Linked DNA regions of Saccharomyces cerevisiae S288C. The protein of the gene in region 1 binds, or shares a complex with, the protein of each later gene. Each region holds a gene or a part of one and is shown in the gene's direction. Other genes may lie near its edges. The genes, in order: RPC25, RPC19, RET1 and RPC82.

Region 1 (3,033 bases):
ATAATGAAAATCGACCTCCTTCCTCCACCCCCTTTCTCCGAAATCCACAAAGAGCACCGCCGCGTTTCATAATTATTACCCGGTGGGCAGGATGTATTTTAGCATCAATGCATTCTAGGCTAAGTATACATGTCTACACAGTACTTGTAATGTAGGTGCTTTCTCATCTCATTCTACTCCTCTAAAATTTTAAGCTGCTTAGTGTATTGGTGACCTTCTCAAGTTTCTTTTTCTCTTGCCTTTCACGATTTCTTCTCTGAGACAGTTTACCTTTGCTTACTTCATCAGCAGCTTCCTTCAGCCTTTCAATTTCTTTATCTTTCTTAGCCAGTTTACGGCCACCACTCTCCAGTTCGTAATTGTCCAAAAAGTCATCAAGCATTGACTCAAAATCAGATCTTTCTGCTGACATGTCAAATGGTTGGTAATTTTGTTCTTCGTCCTCTTCTAGTTCTTCCTCATAATTTTCGTAACCATTGATGATTTGATCGTACTGATCATCCAGTACTGTCATCGTCTCTGTACGCGCAATGGCACTTGAACTCATGGAAAATCCAGATACATCTGACATGGCACCCTTTTTTTGACGGCTCTTTCTTTTCTTCTTCCCCGTCTTGCTTTTGTCTTGGATAGAGGGCAATTCGCCCAGCACATCTTCCTCTTCAGAGGGATTTACACTGTCTAAACCTGCATTAGAAAATTCATCATCCGAGTTATGCTTTTCTAGTATAGAGTTATCTTTTTGAAATCTTCGAACATCAGCTTGATAATCGATATTTTCCAAGTCCTCCAGGTTTTCGATGTTATCAAATTGCGCCATTTCCTTAACGTAGTTTTCATCTTCAAAATTTTCTACATTATCAATATCCCACTCATCAAACTCATCCTCGAATTCGTCTTCATCTTTTGCTTCACCGCTCCCTAGTAATTGTGCGAAAATGTCATCTTCCTTTTCTTCTTCTCCATAGTTATCGCCTTGAAGTTGTGTCTTTTTGCTGATGTCTTCAACCACAACATCATCATTAACAACATATGCTTCATCTTCTAAAGCTTCAAGCACCTCTCTTAATGCAGGATTCATATCAGGTTTGAAACCTCTAATTTCATCGGTGGTATCTTGTTGGTGTAGTAAATATTCTGGCTTTGCCATCCCTCTTTGAAACACAGGTAGCGCGTCATCCTTCTCAATTTCATCACGTCTATACTTAGGTTCGATGAATAAATCTTCAATGTTTTTTTTTTCGACCTTCTGTTCATTGCCTTTGGATGCTATAAAGATGGAGTTTTCAGGGTCGAGACCTATTGGCTTCAAATGTTGAGTATAATCGTATTCAGAATCATCAAAATTAATACCATATAAAGCTGCTTCTCCCACATGAGCCCTCCTACCCTTTGGTTTTGTTGAACTCACGTCTTTTTTTCGAAGATCTGCTTCTGGAGAAGTTTTATTTGGATTGGAGACAGGAACCAAAACGTGCGCAGAGGCATCTGTATCATAAAATGAAGGATCATCATGGGGTCTGTGTACCACCACGTACCTTTGGGAGTTTTTAGAGCTAAATTTCTTCGACATCTTCGTGCTTTTTATATTCCCCTTAAAGTCTTTGAAATACTATACTGGTTGCTCGTAGGATTCGGTAAGAACCCTGATTTAGATGCTCATAATATTCAGGCGATGCTCATCGCTTAAAATTTTTATTTGACAAATTTTCAGTCGCGTTATACGGATTAGTTAATTTCGTATCATAATAACGAATATTCAAGCCATGTGCAGAAATAGACGCAAGAAGCGTTATTCGGAAGAAACTATCGGGTAGTATAAAGACATTCTGTAGTACTATTTAAATTAGAAAATTCATTGAACAAGGTAATATGTTTATCCTTTCAAAAATCGCTGACTTGGTACGAATCCCGCCCGATCAATTCCATCGCGATACAATATCGGCAATCACACATCAGTTAAATAATAAGTTCGCCAACAAGATTATTCCCAATGTCGGTCTATGTATTACGATTTACGACTTATTAACCGTCGAGGAAGGCCAATTGAAGCCAGGCGATGGATCATCCTATATTAACGTTACATTTCGAGCCGTTGTTTTCAAACCGTTTCTAGGTGAGATAGTAACTGGATGGATTTCTAAATGTACAGCAGAAGGCATAAAAGTTTCACTGTTAGGTATATTTGATGACATTTTTATCCCACAAAATATGTTATTCGAAGGGTGCTATTATACCCCTGAAGAAAGTGCATGGATTTGGCCCATGGATGAAGAGACGAAACTATATTTCGATGTAAATGAAAAAATTAGATTCAGAATCGAAAGAGAAGTTTTTGTTGATGTGAAGCCAAAATCACCCAAAGAACGAGAATTGGAGGAAAGAGCTCAATTAGAGAATGAGATTGAGGGTAAGAATGAAGAAACTCCTCAAAACGAAAAACCTCCAGCATATGCCCTATTAGGTAGTTGTCAAACTGATGGCATGGGACTCGTTAGTTGGTGGGAATGATAGATAAGGACGCCACTGACTTCAATAAAACATTTAATAATAATAGTAACAGTAATAATGAGGATAATAATATATAATAAACGTGAATTTTCTTTAGCATTATATACGCTAATTCTTTCTCTATTTGAGGGGATACTCTCGTATCCTTTTTATCTCGATAGTTGTAGTTGTACTTGTTGTTTTTATTAACCCTTCTCATAATATATAATAAAAAAGTACATTGACGTCAATTATATTGCATATAACGCGATGTGGAACTAAACTTCTTGTATCCGCTAATAACTTTATCAACAGCCTTCAGGAAATCCTTTTCAGTAGCCACCTTTCTTCTTGCTCTAATGGCAAACATACCGGCTTCTGTGCAAACAGATCTTAATTCTGCACCGGTAGAGTTTGGACACAGTCTGGAGATAAGTTCCCATCTGATGCCACGTTCCACACTCATTGATTTAGAGTGAATACGGAAGATATTTGCACGACCTTCCAAGTCAGGTAATGAAAACTCTACCTTACGATCAATTC
Region 2 (2,770 bases), on another chromosome or scaffold:
GATATAGTTCCTCAATCCAGGTGGCAGAAAGGTAACCAGTATCATAACCTCCGTGTTCAAACAAGATGATAGGTTGCTTCTTATTTTCAGACAAATCTGTGTTGTTTTCTTGATCAAATACGTCACCATAACAAGTTATATGCAACTGATAGGTTTTAGCGGCATCTACGTAATGGAACGCCTCGTACGAGGGCGACTGAACGGTTATTGGTAATTTGTGAGTCAATCTGTAGGTATCCAATGTCGTTAAAAGTGTATTCAGGGTGAATAAAGCGAAGAATATTAAAATTAAAAACTTAATAGTATTCCTGAACCCAATGGATACCCATTCTGTCAATGTATGTTTGTTTTGGACCAGCTGCGAGCGGTGGGTGGGGGTTGGCGACCCAGAGCCATATTGGCTTCTGTCCCTGTTTTCGGTACTATTTGTATGGTTTTCGTTGAAAGTACTAATATTAGCATCATCAATTCTGCGTTCCTCCAATGGCTCATTTATTGAGTTGTTGTAAAACAAGAGATACCAATCTAATATTGCCCCAATAAAAAATGAAAACGAAGTCCACAAATATGTAAACGTGCCCACAAAGCCGATTCTTTGCCTAGTGTATTTAATTAGATAGGTCAATGCTAGATTGAACAACGTCAAAACACAGAGAGTTACATTTAAGCTGTAATCTAAAGCTGAGTACAGTCCCAGCTTATTAAACCAGAGATTGAAAGAATTAGCTATGATCGAGATGAATATTAAAGTCAAGTCGTTAAAACTTGCGTACCTGTTACTGAATCCGAAAAGAATATTGATATTGAAAAAGAAATCTGAAATCAAAGTGGTGACTAGCCAGATGGTGTTAATTAGAATTAGGATATTTAATATCCATTTGGAGTTATGAATAAAGATTCTATAACCTTTGCGAATTTGAAAGAGACTATCTTTGATGAACCCATCGGATTCAATGTCACGACCTTCATTAACTGCTGGGCCATTCGCGGATCCTGCACCAAGGGTCCGGTGGTTGTTGTTCAGCAACGGTTGCGCTTCTGGGTGTTCACTATCTATATCTGTTCTTTCCATTCCCGTCCTTGCCGGATCATTATCTAAACCATTAGCCTTCATGATCTGTTCGCTCTGATGCCTACAGTTCTTTCTTCAATGGCTTTCCTTTCCTTTCCTCCTTATAGAATATAGCAAGGCATCTAACTTTTAGTTTTTCTCTCATCCCTTTAAACTGCACGATGGTTAAAATTAGGGGTCCGAATAGCCTTGCAAGGAATAGATTAAAGAACACTATATATGCATAGCCACTTCAAAACGTGCTGAGAACATGCCATCAAGGTTGACCAATACGATTGCTGATTCGACAACTTCTACATTACATAGGCATATACATATCAGAAAAACGTGCTTTATAGGTACATTTTTTAATTCCTTAAACATAACTTGCTTCTATTTTGGGATAGTTCCTTTTCTTTGAACTACGTTTTTTGGGCAGAAATATAAAAAAAAACCGAAAAAAACGGCACGCAAGAAAGCTTATTCAAAAAGACGCAACAATATCATAGATTATTCTAAGTACCAACAACGTGATAAACTTTGTTCTAATAAAGCTACATCTTATCTCTTCTGTACAGCTTTATTGGGGTGAATCATATTTACTTCAATCCGGGTAATGGTAAACGTAACAAGTGATAGAAATATTCACCTGCGATGAGCTGGAAAAAAAAAAAATTTCAAAAGAAAACCATACTAATGCTGAGGTATAAAGTAACGAATTGGGGAAAGGCCATCAATCCAAAGTCGGAAAAATTGAACTTCACATAAAGTACCAGGCAAATGACTGAAGACATCGAACAAAAAAAGACCGCTACAGAGGTAACACCACAAGAACCAAAGCACATCCAAGAAGAAGAAGAACAGGATGTTGATATGACTGGCGATGAAGAACAGGAAGAGGAACCAGACAGGGAAAAAATTAAGCTTCTCACACAGGCAACATCTGAAGATGGAACTAGTGCCTCTTTTCAAATTGTAGAGGAGGATCACACGCTTGGAAATGCCCTTCGTTACGTTATAATGAAAAATCCAGACGTAGAATTTTGTGGTTACTCGATACCTCATCCTTCTGAAAACCTATTAAATATCAGAATTCAAACCTACGGTGAAACGACCGCGGTGGATGCTCTTCAAAAAGGGCTAAAGGACTTGATGGATTTATGTGACGTTGTAGAATCTAAGTTTACTGAAAAAATCAAGAGCATGTAGATGTTACGGATCGACTCAAAGACCCTCTGTCACTCTGAAATTTCTAATAATTATGCACACCACGCTAGTATAGATACAGCTTGATTTGTGTATCCCGTTTATAGTCGTGCTATTTAAAATCTATGTATAATATAACCAGATAAAAATACACCTTCGTACAAGGTGCTAATAATGTTGAGAATTCGAAATTCCTTTTTAAAGGCGTATTCCGTATTGAATGATTGAAAAATTTATTTCTTTTTTTATTTCTTTTTTTTTTTTTTTTTTTTTTTTTTACGCCGATGCTCATCGCAGAAAATTTTTCCTTCAGTTTATTTGTCTTATAAAAAGACTGTCCTACGCTCAAATAACTTATACTTTTCTGTATCTCATTCAAATTATTTTCTTGTCAACAACCTGTAACAGAATTAAGCACTATTAAGGCAAATTTAGAGCAAATATGACTTACGGTGGTAGAGATCAGCAATATAACAAGACTAACTACAAGTCTAGAGGTGGCGACTTCCGCGG
Region 3 (5,532 bases), on another chromosome or scaffold:
AACTAGTTAAAGAATATAATTTTGAATCATCCGTGGATTGCGGACCCCTCTGCTTTTGTGATAGCTGCTTTTGATGTAAAGGCTTTTTCTTGAATTTCAGGCATTTCTCTAATCTTTGCATTTCAAAATTTTCTAAAGTTTCAAAATTGTTAAAGAGTTTCTTTAATATTACCTTTTCATTTTCTTTTACGGAGCAGAATTTTAGCCAATTCGGTAAAATCGTGTCGTTAGGTGCTAAGTCAGCAGGCATATTGAATTGGAAAAACTTTTGCAAAGAATTAGGAGAATAATGAATTAGATCCTTTTTCAGAGACTGTAAAAATATTTTATTTGAATCATTGGGTGGAGGTATGTTTATTCTTAAATTTAAAGTTGACCTTGAAGTTAAGTTTACATTCAAGTTCAAATCCAATTTGGGCAAGATGCAATTTTTCTTATTTTTTCCTAATGAGGGGGCCTTGCTATCATTCAGAGAGCCTTCGAGAAGAAAGAATTTCAAATAAGGAGATGGAAAAAAATGGCAGATGAACTTTTTAAACTTCTCAATGAGGCAAAAAGTTGTCTTTAAACAACTCGAAATTCTGCTAAACGAATCACTGAAAATGAAAATATCATAATCTTTGATGATCTTTGTGAACTCAATATACTTTTCATCAGATCCAAGGTAATTCTTTAGTAAGTTCTCGAACGGGTAGTTCGACCTTTTCACCAAAGTGCTGGGTAGCGGCAACGATAAAACTGTGATATCCTTAGCATTGGTATTGCCTAAAAATGAGTTGGTATTGGGGCCAGCGCACAGATCTAGTAAAAGTATTTTAGAATGCCTATTAGAGTTGTTCCGCCGTATGTTAACGTCGTCCAAATCTTTGCACGGTTTAATTTGATTTTGGGGAAGGTTAGACAGATTTATAGTTTCACCTCTATAGACGGGCATTTGACCAGGTGTTCTAGTTTGATTGACTTGTATGTGGCCCTTTTCCGATATAGCGGAAGAAGCCATTCTATTGCCGTTATTGTCTCTTTTGCCATTACGATATTGCTGTGCTATGCGATCCATCAATAGCAACGTCGATCCTATTTTATTGTAAACTATTAATAGCACTGGGGATCGGACCTAGGCTTCCAAACTAAGCGAAAAGGGCTGTGCAAAGCGGAAGAGGGGAACCAGGGGAATCGGGTCTGTCAGGTTGAGTGATCTCGTCTTTCTTGTCAAAGGTCGCAGCGCGGTGTTCAAAGAAAGATGATGATTCAAAGTTGGCACTTCCCAAAGGTTTTAATAGGTGCATTATTTTTATATATTCCTTATTGTTAGGTGTACTACACATAAAGATATAAATAGTTCCATAAAGCAGGCGCGTATTTTCCAGATCACGTCGGACGAAATTGTAATTGTGAGATGAGCTGAAAATTTTTCGATCTATGCTTAAGTGATGATATATGGACAAGTTAGGAAAGAATTAAAGGGAGTTTAAAGTGTTGATAATTGAGCGTTTTAATCGCTAGGGACTTAGTGCTTGTTGAAAAATGGTTGCTGCGACAAAAAGACGGAAAACTCATATACATAAGCATGTGAAAGACGAGGCTTTTGATGATTTATTGAAACCAGTATATAAAGGTAAGAAACTAACTGATGAAATCAATACTGCTCAGGATAAGTGGCACCTTTTACCAGCATTCTTGAAGGTTAAAGGTTTGGTGAAGCAACATCTTGACTCATTTAACTACTTCGTTGATACAGATTTAAAAAAAATTATAAAGGCAAATCAATTAATTTTGAGTGATGTTGATCCAGAATTCTACCTGAAGTACGTCGATATTAGAGTGGGTAAGAAGTCCTCTTCTTCGACAAAAGATTATTTGACTCCGCCTCATGAGTGTAGGCTTAGAGATATGACATACTCTGCACCAATCTACGTGGATATAGAATACACTAGAGGTAGAAACATTATTATGCATAAAGACGTGGAAATTGGTAGGATGCCGATCATGCTGAGATCTAATAAATGTATCCTATATGATGCTGATGAATCGAAAATGGCTAAATTAAACGAGTGTCCGTTGGATCCTGGTGGTTACTTTATTGTTAACGGTACCGAAAAAGTAATTCTTGTTCAAGAACAATTATCCAAGAATCGTATTATTGTGGAGGCAGATGAGAAGAAAGGCATTGTTCAGGCCTCCGTTACTTCATCTACCCATGAAAGAAAATCTAAGACTTATGTCATTACCAAAAATGGCAAGATCTATTTGAAGCACAATTCCATCGCTGAAGAAATTCCTATTGCTATTGTTCTCAAAGCCTGTGGTATTTTATCAGATTTAGAAATTATGCAATTGGTTTGCGGTAATGATAGTAGCTACCAAGATATTTTTGCAGTCAATTTGGAAGAATCTTCGAAATTAGATATTTACACACAACAGCAAGCTTTAGAGTATATTGGTGCAAAAGTAAAGACAATGAGAAGGCAAAAACTGACTATCCTGCAAGAGGGTATAGAGGCCATTGCTACCACGGTTATTGCACATTTGACTGTGGAAGCCCTTGACTTTAGAGAAAAGGCTTTATATATTGCCATGATGACGCGCAGGGTGGTGATGGCAATGTATAACCCTAAGATGATTGATGATAGAGATTATGTTGGTAATAAACGTCTTGAATTAGCAGGCCAATTGATTTCTTTATTGTTCGAAGATTTGTTCAAAAAGTTTAATAATGATTTTAAACTAAGCATTGATAAGGTCTTGAAAAAACCAAATAGGGCTATGGAATACGATGCATTATTGTCAATTAACGTCCATTCAAATAACATCACCAGCGGACTGAACAGAGCTATCTCAACCGGTAATTGGTCTCTTAAAAGATTTAAGATGGAAAGAGCGGGTGTTACACATGTTCTTTCCAGACTATCTTATATTTCCGCATTGGGTATGATGACAAGAATTTCTTCTCAGTTTGAAAAATCAAGAAAAGTTTCCGGTCCAAGAGCATTACAACCTTCTCAATTTGGTATGCTTTGTACTGCAGATACTCCAGAAGGTGAGGCGTGTGGTCTAGTGAAAAATTTAGCATTAATGACTCATATTACTACAGATGACGAAGAGGAACCTATAAAGAAATTATGTTATGTTCTTGGTGTAGAAGACATAACATTGATTGACAGTGCATCCTTGCATTTAAACTATGGTGTTTATTTGAATGGTACTTTAATTGGTTCAATCAGATTCCCAACAAAATTCGTTACTCAGTTCAGACATCTGAGAAGAACAGGTAAAGTGTCGGAGTTTATCTCAATTTATTCAAATTCTCACCAAATGGCAGTTCATATTGCAACAGATGGTGGTAGAATTTGTAGGCCATTAATCATTGTTTCTGATGGTCAATCTCGCGTGAAAGATATTCATTTACGCAAATTATTAGATGGTGAGTTAGATTTCGATGATTTTTTGAAACTCGGATTGGTGGAATATTTAGATGTCAATGAAGAAAACGATTCTTACATTGCATTGTATGAAAAAGATATAGTTCCCTCGATGACACATTTAGAAATCGAGCCATTCACAATTTTAGGTGCTGTTGCTGGTTTAATTCCATATCCACATCATAACCAATCCCCTCGTAACACATATCAATGTGCGATGGGTAAGCAAGCGATTGGTGCAATCGCCTACAATCAATTCAAGAGAATAGATACATTATTATACTTGATGACTTATCCACAACAGCCAATGGTGAAAACCAAAACAATTGAATTGATCGATTATGATAAATTACCTGCTGGTCAAAATGCTACGGTTGCTGTCATGTCCTATTCTGGTTATGATATTGAAGATGCTTTGGTTTTGAATAAGTCATCCATCGATAGAGGTTTCGGCCGTTGCGAAACACGTAGAAAGACAACCACTGTTTTGAAAAGATATGCGAACCATACCCAAGATATCATCGGTGGTATGAGAGTTGATGAAAATGGAGATCCTATCTGGCAACATCAATCTCTTGGTCCTGATGGTCTAGGTGAGGTGGGTATGAAGGTCCAAAGTGGACAAATTTATATAAATAAGTCAGTTCCAACTAACTCAGCAGACGCCCCAAACCCAAACAACGTAAACGTCCAAACTCAATATAGGGAAGCTCCGGTAATATATAGAGGTCCAGAACCTTCTCACATTGACCAAGTTATGATGTCTGTTTCGGATAACGATCAAGCTTTAATCAAAGTTTTGCTAAGACAAAACAGAAGGCCAGAATTAGGTGACAAATTTTCTTCTAGACATGGTCAAAAAGGTGTTTGTGGTATTATTGTAAAGCAAGAAGACATGCCCTTCAACGATCAAGGTATAGTTCCAGACATTATCATGAACCCTCACGGTTTTCCATCTCGTATGACTGTGGGTAAAATGATCGAACTGATATCGGGTAAAGCTGGTGTATTGAATGGTACATTGGAATATGGTACTTGTTTTGGTGGTTCTAAACTTGAAGATATGTCTAAGATTTTGGTAGACCAAGGTTTCAACTATTCCGGTAAGGATATGTTATATTCAGGTATAACAGGTGAGTGTTTACAGGCTTACATCTTTTTTGGCCCCATTTACTATCAAAAGTTAAAGCATATGGTCTTAGATAAGATGCATGCAAGAGCTCGTGGTCCAAGGGCTGTTTTGACACGTCAACCAACTGAGGGTAGATCTAGAGATGGTGGTCTGAGGTTGGGTGAGATGGAGAGGGATTGTGTAATCGCGTATGGTGCTTCACAATTGCTGTTAGAAAGGTTGATGATTAGTTCAGATGCTTTTGAAGTTGATGTCTGCGATAAATGTGGATTAATGGGCTATAGTGGTTGGTGTACTACCTGCAAAAGTGCTGAGAATATTATTAAGATGACTATTCCATATGCAGCAAAACTGTTATTCCAGGAATTATTATCCATGAACATAGCCCCAAGATTAAGATTGGAAGATATCTTCCAGCAGTAAGAAATCATATATCTTGTACTAAATTTTGCGTTATGTTAGCAATCATATCTATTTCGTGAGGAACTTTAAGAGAGTTGAACGATTTCGAAAATTATATAACAGTAAACCGTACTTCTTTCATTTTTGTACCTTGCTTTACATCATTACTTTTTATAAGATCCATCGAACGTTTGACGTGTTTTCTATCCATAAACCGGCCAAAATATAAAAATATCCAGCTGACAAGAGAAAGCTTGGAGTGCTCACATGTTAGCACATGTGAGCACAATGATATATACGCTTTAAAAAAGACTTTTCTTTATTTTACACATTTATAGACTTAACTATTGAATTCAAGACAAAAAATCAAATCTTGCTGAGTTGTTAAGCGTCTGACATTTCAACATCTTCGTTGTCATCATCACTTTCCAGACTGTTTAATAATTTTGCTTCTTCTGTTTCTCTTTCTTTGTCTTGTTCTTCCATACTTTCTCTCATTAATCTGGCCTTTTCTTCCTTAACTTCACGTTGTACTGCAACATAAGAACCTAAAGGTGTTTTATTCCAAGCTACATCATT
Region 4 (4,258 bases), on another chromosome or scaffold:
TACATGCCTTTCTTTTTTTGCCAGGATCGTGAGATGAGACATAAAATAACGTACCACTGAAACTTGACAGAATTGAGGGGTCTAACTATAAACCTGCGGCAAAAGAAGGATTGTATGCTGAAGTAGAAAAAAGGATAATTAAATATATATTTACTAGTATAGTAAGAATTTGGAAAGGGTAAGGAATAAATAATGAGGGATTTTTTTTTGGTCTTACATGTTGTTATTTGAATTTTGTTTGTTTTTATTTTCAATATTTGTGTGAATATTCATTAAAAAAAAGGTGCGCGGCAACATCTATATATATATTTGCCTTTAGTTTTTCGTTTTGTACAAATACTTTCCTCTTACAATTCGTCCAAATATGGCAAGTTGGAAACATCACCGACGGCTACATAGTTGAATTTTCCCAACTTAAAGTCCTTCACGGCGTCAAAATTTAGTTCAATTGGGCTGGAAACAGATTCATTTTGGACGGCATTCTTTAACTTTGTGTAATTTATTGCAGGGGATAAGTCCTTGCCCTTCTTCAAATCCGCAACAATTTTCTTGATGTTGGAAGATACCACGGCGCTGTCCTGGTCTCTTACAAACAGAGTAAATAGGCCGCCGTCAGTGAATTTATCAAGTTTAGCCGAGCTGATTAAACCGGAAAGCTCGGATAGGGCAGAGGTCAAATAGTTGGCCAATACTTCATATTGAGCTAGGGAGGCTTTGTTTACCGGGATACCAATGGCGGCAACGGAGTCACCGATAAACCTTACCCTGTTTTCTTCACCCAAAAAGAATTTTGGTTCGGATTTACTCACCAATGACTTACCTGCAGGCAAAGTGCTTAACAGTGACTCGTCAACAAATCTTTTCAAATCGGCCTCAACAACATTTTCACCGCTAACTTCAAGGTTCTCCTTGGTATAGACTTTGTCCGCAAAGTCCTTGATATCTTGCAAACTGACTCTTTCCACACCATCGTATAACAATGGGTTTCCTAAACCCTTTCTGAATGTAATGGCATACAATTGGTCTTCGGCGCTCTTTACCGGACATTGTTCAGCGACCGCATAATCGTATCTAGCAGCAGGCAAAACAGATTCGGTGAGCTCGTGAGGTTTGAAGGCAGTCTTGTATAGCACGTCTGCTAGGGCATTGACGTAGTAGGGAAGGTCGTCCTTCAAAAAGGTAGCTTTCAAAGTGATGTATTCCCTATCCAAGGTAGACTTAAAAGTTCCCCCTAATAATTCGGATTCTCTGACTAATTTCAAAGCTGATCTAGTGTTCGTGTTTTGAAAGTTGAATCTGTTTAAAAGATGGGCCACACCATCCTTGGTTGCATAACGAGACCCTCCATGGACCTTAACAGCCAATGTAGATATTTTAGTAGGTGCGTCTCTAGCGGAAACGGTCAACCTTCTAACTGACCCCTGGGCAAATTGCAATCTAGCTGCTGACAACATCAACGTTCTTCTTTTTTCCTTTTAATAATTTTAACTCTCCCGTCCTAATCGTTCGAGCACACTGCTGTTAAAAACCTTATTAACTTCTAAAACTTCGTCAGCAAACGCTCTGAGGAAAGGCCCTTGTTCTTTATATATATATTTGGTAGGCTAACGGATATAAGACGGGGCGGGCCTTCTATTGGTTCGTTGGGAATGATCAGAAATTTTTCAAAAGCTCATCGCATTGAAGGAAAAAAATAATTTTGGATCAAAATAATAATAGTGGAAGAAATATTGAGAACAATAGAGAATTGCTGACACAGGAATAGGGAAAAATTTTTGTTGAGCAAGATCCAAATGGACGAGTTACTGGGAGAAGCGCTTAGTGCAGAGAACCAAACAGGTGAGAGCACTGTCGAATCTGAGAAGTTGGTCACCCCCGAAGATGTTATGACCATATCATCCTTGGAACAGAGAACCTTGAATCCCGATTTGTTTCTTTACAAAGAGTTGGTGAAGGCACATCTGGGTGAAAGAGCAGCTTCTGTAATTGGGATGTTGGTTGCGCTGGGCAGATTGAGTGTGCGCGAGTTAGTGGAGAAAATAGATGGTATGGATGTAGACAGCGTCAAGACGACACTAGTCTCATTAACTCAATTAAGGTGTGTTAAGTACCTGCAAGAAACAGCAATATCCGGGAAAAAAACGACTTATTATTACTATAACGAGGAAGGGATACACATTTTACTCTACTCAGGGTTGATTATTGACGAAATTATTACGCAAATGCGTGTAAACGACGAAGAGGAGCATAAACAGCTGGTGGCTGAAATTGTACAAAACGTTATATCATTAGGGTCCTTAACAGTGGAAGATTATCTAAGTAGTGTCACGTCAGATTCCATGAAGTACACCATTTCATCACTATTCGTGCAACTGTGTGAAATGGGATATCTTATTCAAATATCAAAATTGCATTATACCCCAATCGAAGATCTCTGGCAATTTTTATATGAAAAACATTACAAAAATATTCCCAGAAACTCCCCGTTGTCCGATTTGAAGAAAAGATCCCAAGCCAAGATGAATGCGAAAACTGATTTTGCCAAAATCATAAATAAACCAAATGAGCTTTCACAAATCTTAACGGTTGATCCAAAGACCTCATTGAGGATTGTTAAACCTACAGTCTCTCTGACGATTAATTTGGATAGATTTATGAAAGGTAGAAGATCTAAACAATTGATTAACTTGGCCAAGACAAGAGTCGGCTCCGTCACAGCTCAAGTTTACAAAATTGCATTAAGACTCACAGAGCAAAAGTCTCCTAAAATTAGAGATCCACTAACTCAAACTGGGCTTTTACAAGATTTGGAGGAAGCAAAATCGTTTCAAGACGAAGCCGAACTTGTTGAGGAGAAGACACCAGGGCTTACCTTTAATGCTATTGACTTGGCAAGACATCTCCCCGCAGAATTGGACTTGCGTGGAAGCTTATTATCTAGAAAGCCCTCTGACAATAAAAAGCGTTCTGGCTCAAACGCTGCTGCATCATTACCCAGTAAAAAATTAAAAACCGAAGATGGATTTGTGATCCCGGCGCTACCTGCTGCTGTTTCCAAATCTCTTCAAGAAAGTGGAGATACACAAGAAGAAGACGAAGAGGAGGAGGATTTGGATGCAGACACTGAGGATCCTCACTCAGCTTCTTTGATAAATAGTCATTTAAAAATCCTAGCATCATCAAATTTCCCCTTTTTGAACGAAACCAAACCAGGTGTTTACTATGTTCCATATAGCAAACTAATGCCAGTATTAAAGTCATCTGTTTATGAGTATGTTATCGCGTCTACGTTGGGACCCTCAGCAATGCGTTTAAGCCGTTGTATTCGTGATAACAAGCTGGTGTCTGAGAAAATTATCAACTCAACTGCGTTAATGAAGGAAAAGGATATAAGATCTACATTAGCATCTTTAATTAGATACAATTCTGTGGAAATCCAGGAAGTTCCAAGAACAGCCGATAGATCAGCATCAAGGGCAGTTTTTTTGTTTAGATGCAAAGAAACGCATTCCTATAATTTCATGAGACAAAACTTGGAATGGAATATGGCAAATTTACTTTTTAAAAAGGAGAAATTAAAGCAAGAAAACTCTACATTATTAAAAAAGGCAAATAGAGATGATGTTAAAGGAAGAGAGAACGAACTACTATTACCAAGCGAATTGAATCAATTAAAGATGGTCAATGAAAGAGAGCTAAATGTTTTCGCTCGTTTATCGAGGTTGCTATCGCTTTGGGAAGTTTTCCAAATGGCATGATTACTCTATACAGCTGATAAACTCTGTCTAATAACCTTTTATACTCTATAGAAAAGATAAAATTTATTACTAATGTTACATTAAGGTTTGATTGACTATCTCGAATCCAAATTTTTAGAAACATTCGTTTAGCGCCTTCACTGCAGTAACGTTCCAAGGGCACAAAAACATACCTCTTTGTATGCTTCTCAAATTCTTACTCTCACAATATAGTTTACTCATCTCCTCCGCAGTAACTTTATTTTGTCCATTAGAAGCTATTCTTCGTTGAATATTCTTATCTAATCTCTCCCAAACCTTGAGGTTATTAGGGAAAAAGTACGCACTCCTTTGCCATACTTGTTTACCGGTATCGTTACGATAAAGTCTCTTAGTAATTTCTTCTATCAGATATGGTGCGTCTTTGTGCTTATCTATTATTTGTTTGGATAATGGCAAAGCTTTCAATTCTTCTAAAATAATGCTTAAATCTTCACGCTTATCGTCTAGAATTGACATAG

What was found.
Region 2: RPC25 (region 1) and RPC19 share a complex: the UniProt entries of both Saccharomyces cerevisiae proteins name them as parts of the RNA polymerase III (Pol III) complex.
Region 3: RPC25 (region 1) and RET1 share a complex: the UniProt entries of both Saccharomyces cerevisiae proteins name them as parts of the RNA polymerase III (Pol III) complex.
Region 4: RPC25 (region 1) and RPC82 share a complex: the UniProt entries of both Saccharomyces cerevisiae proteins name them as parts of the RNA polymerase III (Pol III) complex.

Annotation. Positions count from the first base shown.
Region 1 is NC_001143.9:175,321-178,353, reverse strand, and holds RPC25 (DNA-directed RNA polymerase III subunit RPC25), read left to right. Parts: upstream 1-1,872; coding exon 1,873-2,511; downstream 2,512-3,033. Other genes in the region: ribosome biogenesis protein LTV1, read right to left, coding at 182-1,573; proteasome regulatory particle base subunit RPT1, read right to left, coding at 2,738-3,033. UniProt on the Saccharomyces cerevisiae protein: DNA-dependent RNA polymerase catalyzes the transcription of DNA into RNA using the four ribonucleoside triphosphates as substrates. Specific peripheric component of RNA polymerase III which synthesizes small RNAs, such as 5S rRNA and tRNA.
Region 2 is NC_001146.8:410,940-413,709, forward strand, and holds RPC19 (DNA-directed RNA polymerase core subunit RPC19), read left to right. Parts: upstream 1-1,831; coding exon 1,832-2,260; downstream 2,261-2,770. Other genes in the region: YNL115C (uncharacterized protein), read right to left, coding at 1-1,114; DEAD-box ATP-dependent RNA helicase DBP2, read left to right, coding at 2,700-2,770. UniProt on the Saccharomyces cerevisiae protein: DNA-dependent RNA polymerases catalyze the transcription of DNA into RNA using the four ribonucleoside triphosphates as substrates.
Region 3 is NC_001147.6:729,450-734,981, reverse strand, and holds RET1 (DNA-directed RNA polymerase III core subunit RET1), read left to right. Parts: upstream 1-1,524; coding exon 1,525-4,974; downstream 4,975-5,532. Other genes in the region: tyrosine protein phosphatase PTP2, read right to left, coding at 1-1,057; mRNA-binding ribosome synthesis protein NOC2, read right to left, coding at 5,338-5,532. UniProt on the Saccharomyces cerevisiae protein: DNA-dependent RNA polymerase catalyzes the transcription of DNA into RNA using the four ribonucleoside triphosphates as substrates. Second largest core component of RNA polymerase III which synthesizes small RNAs, such as 5S rRNA and tRNAs.
Region 4 is NC_001148.4:916,577-920,834, reverse strand, and holds RPC82 (DNA-directed RNA polymerase III subunit C82), read left to right. Parts: upstream 1-1,793; coding exon 1,794-3,758; downstream 3,759-4,258. Other genes in the region: QCR2 (ubiquinol--cytochrome-c reductase subunit 2), read right to left, coding at 348-1,454; SKI complex subunit tetratricopeptide repeat protein SKI3, read right to left, coding at 3,873-4,258. UniProt on the Saccharomyces cerevisiae protein: DNA-dependent RNA polymerase catalyzes the transcription of DNA into RNA using the four ribonucleoside triphosphates as substrates. Specific core component of RNA polymerase III which synthesizes small RNAs, such as 5S rRNA and tRNAs.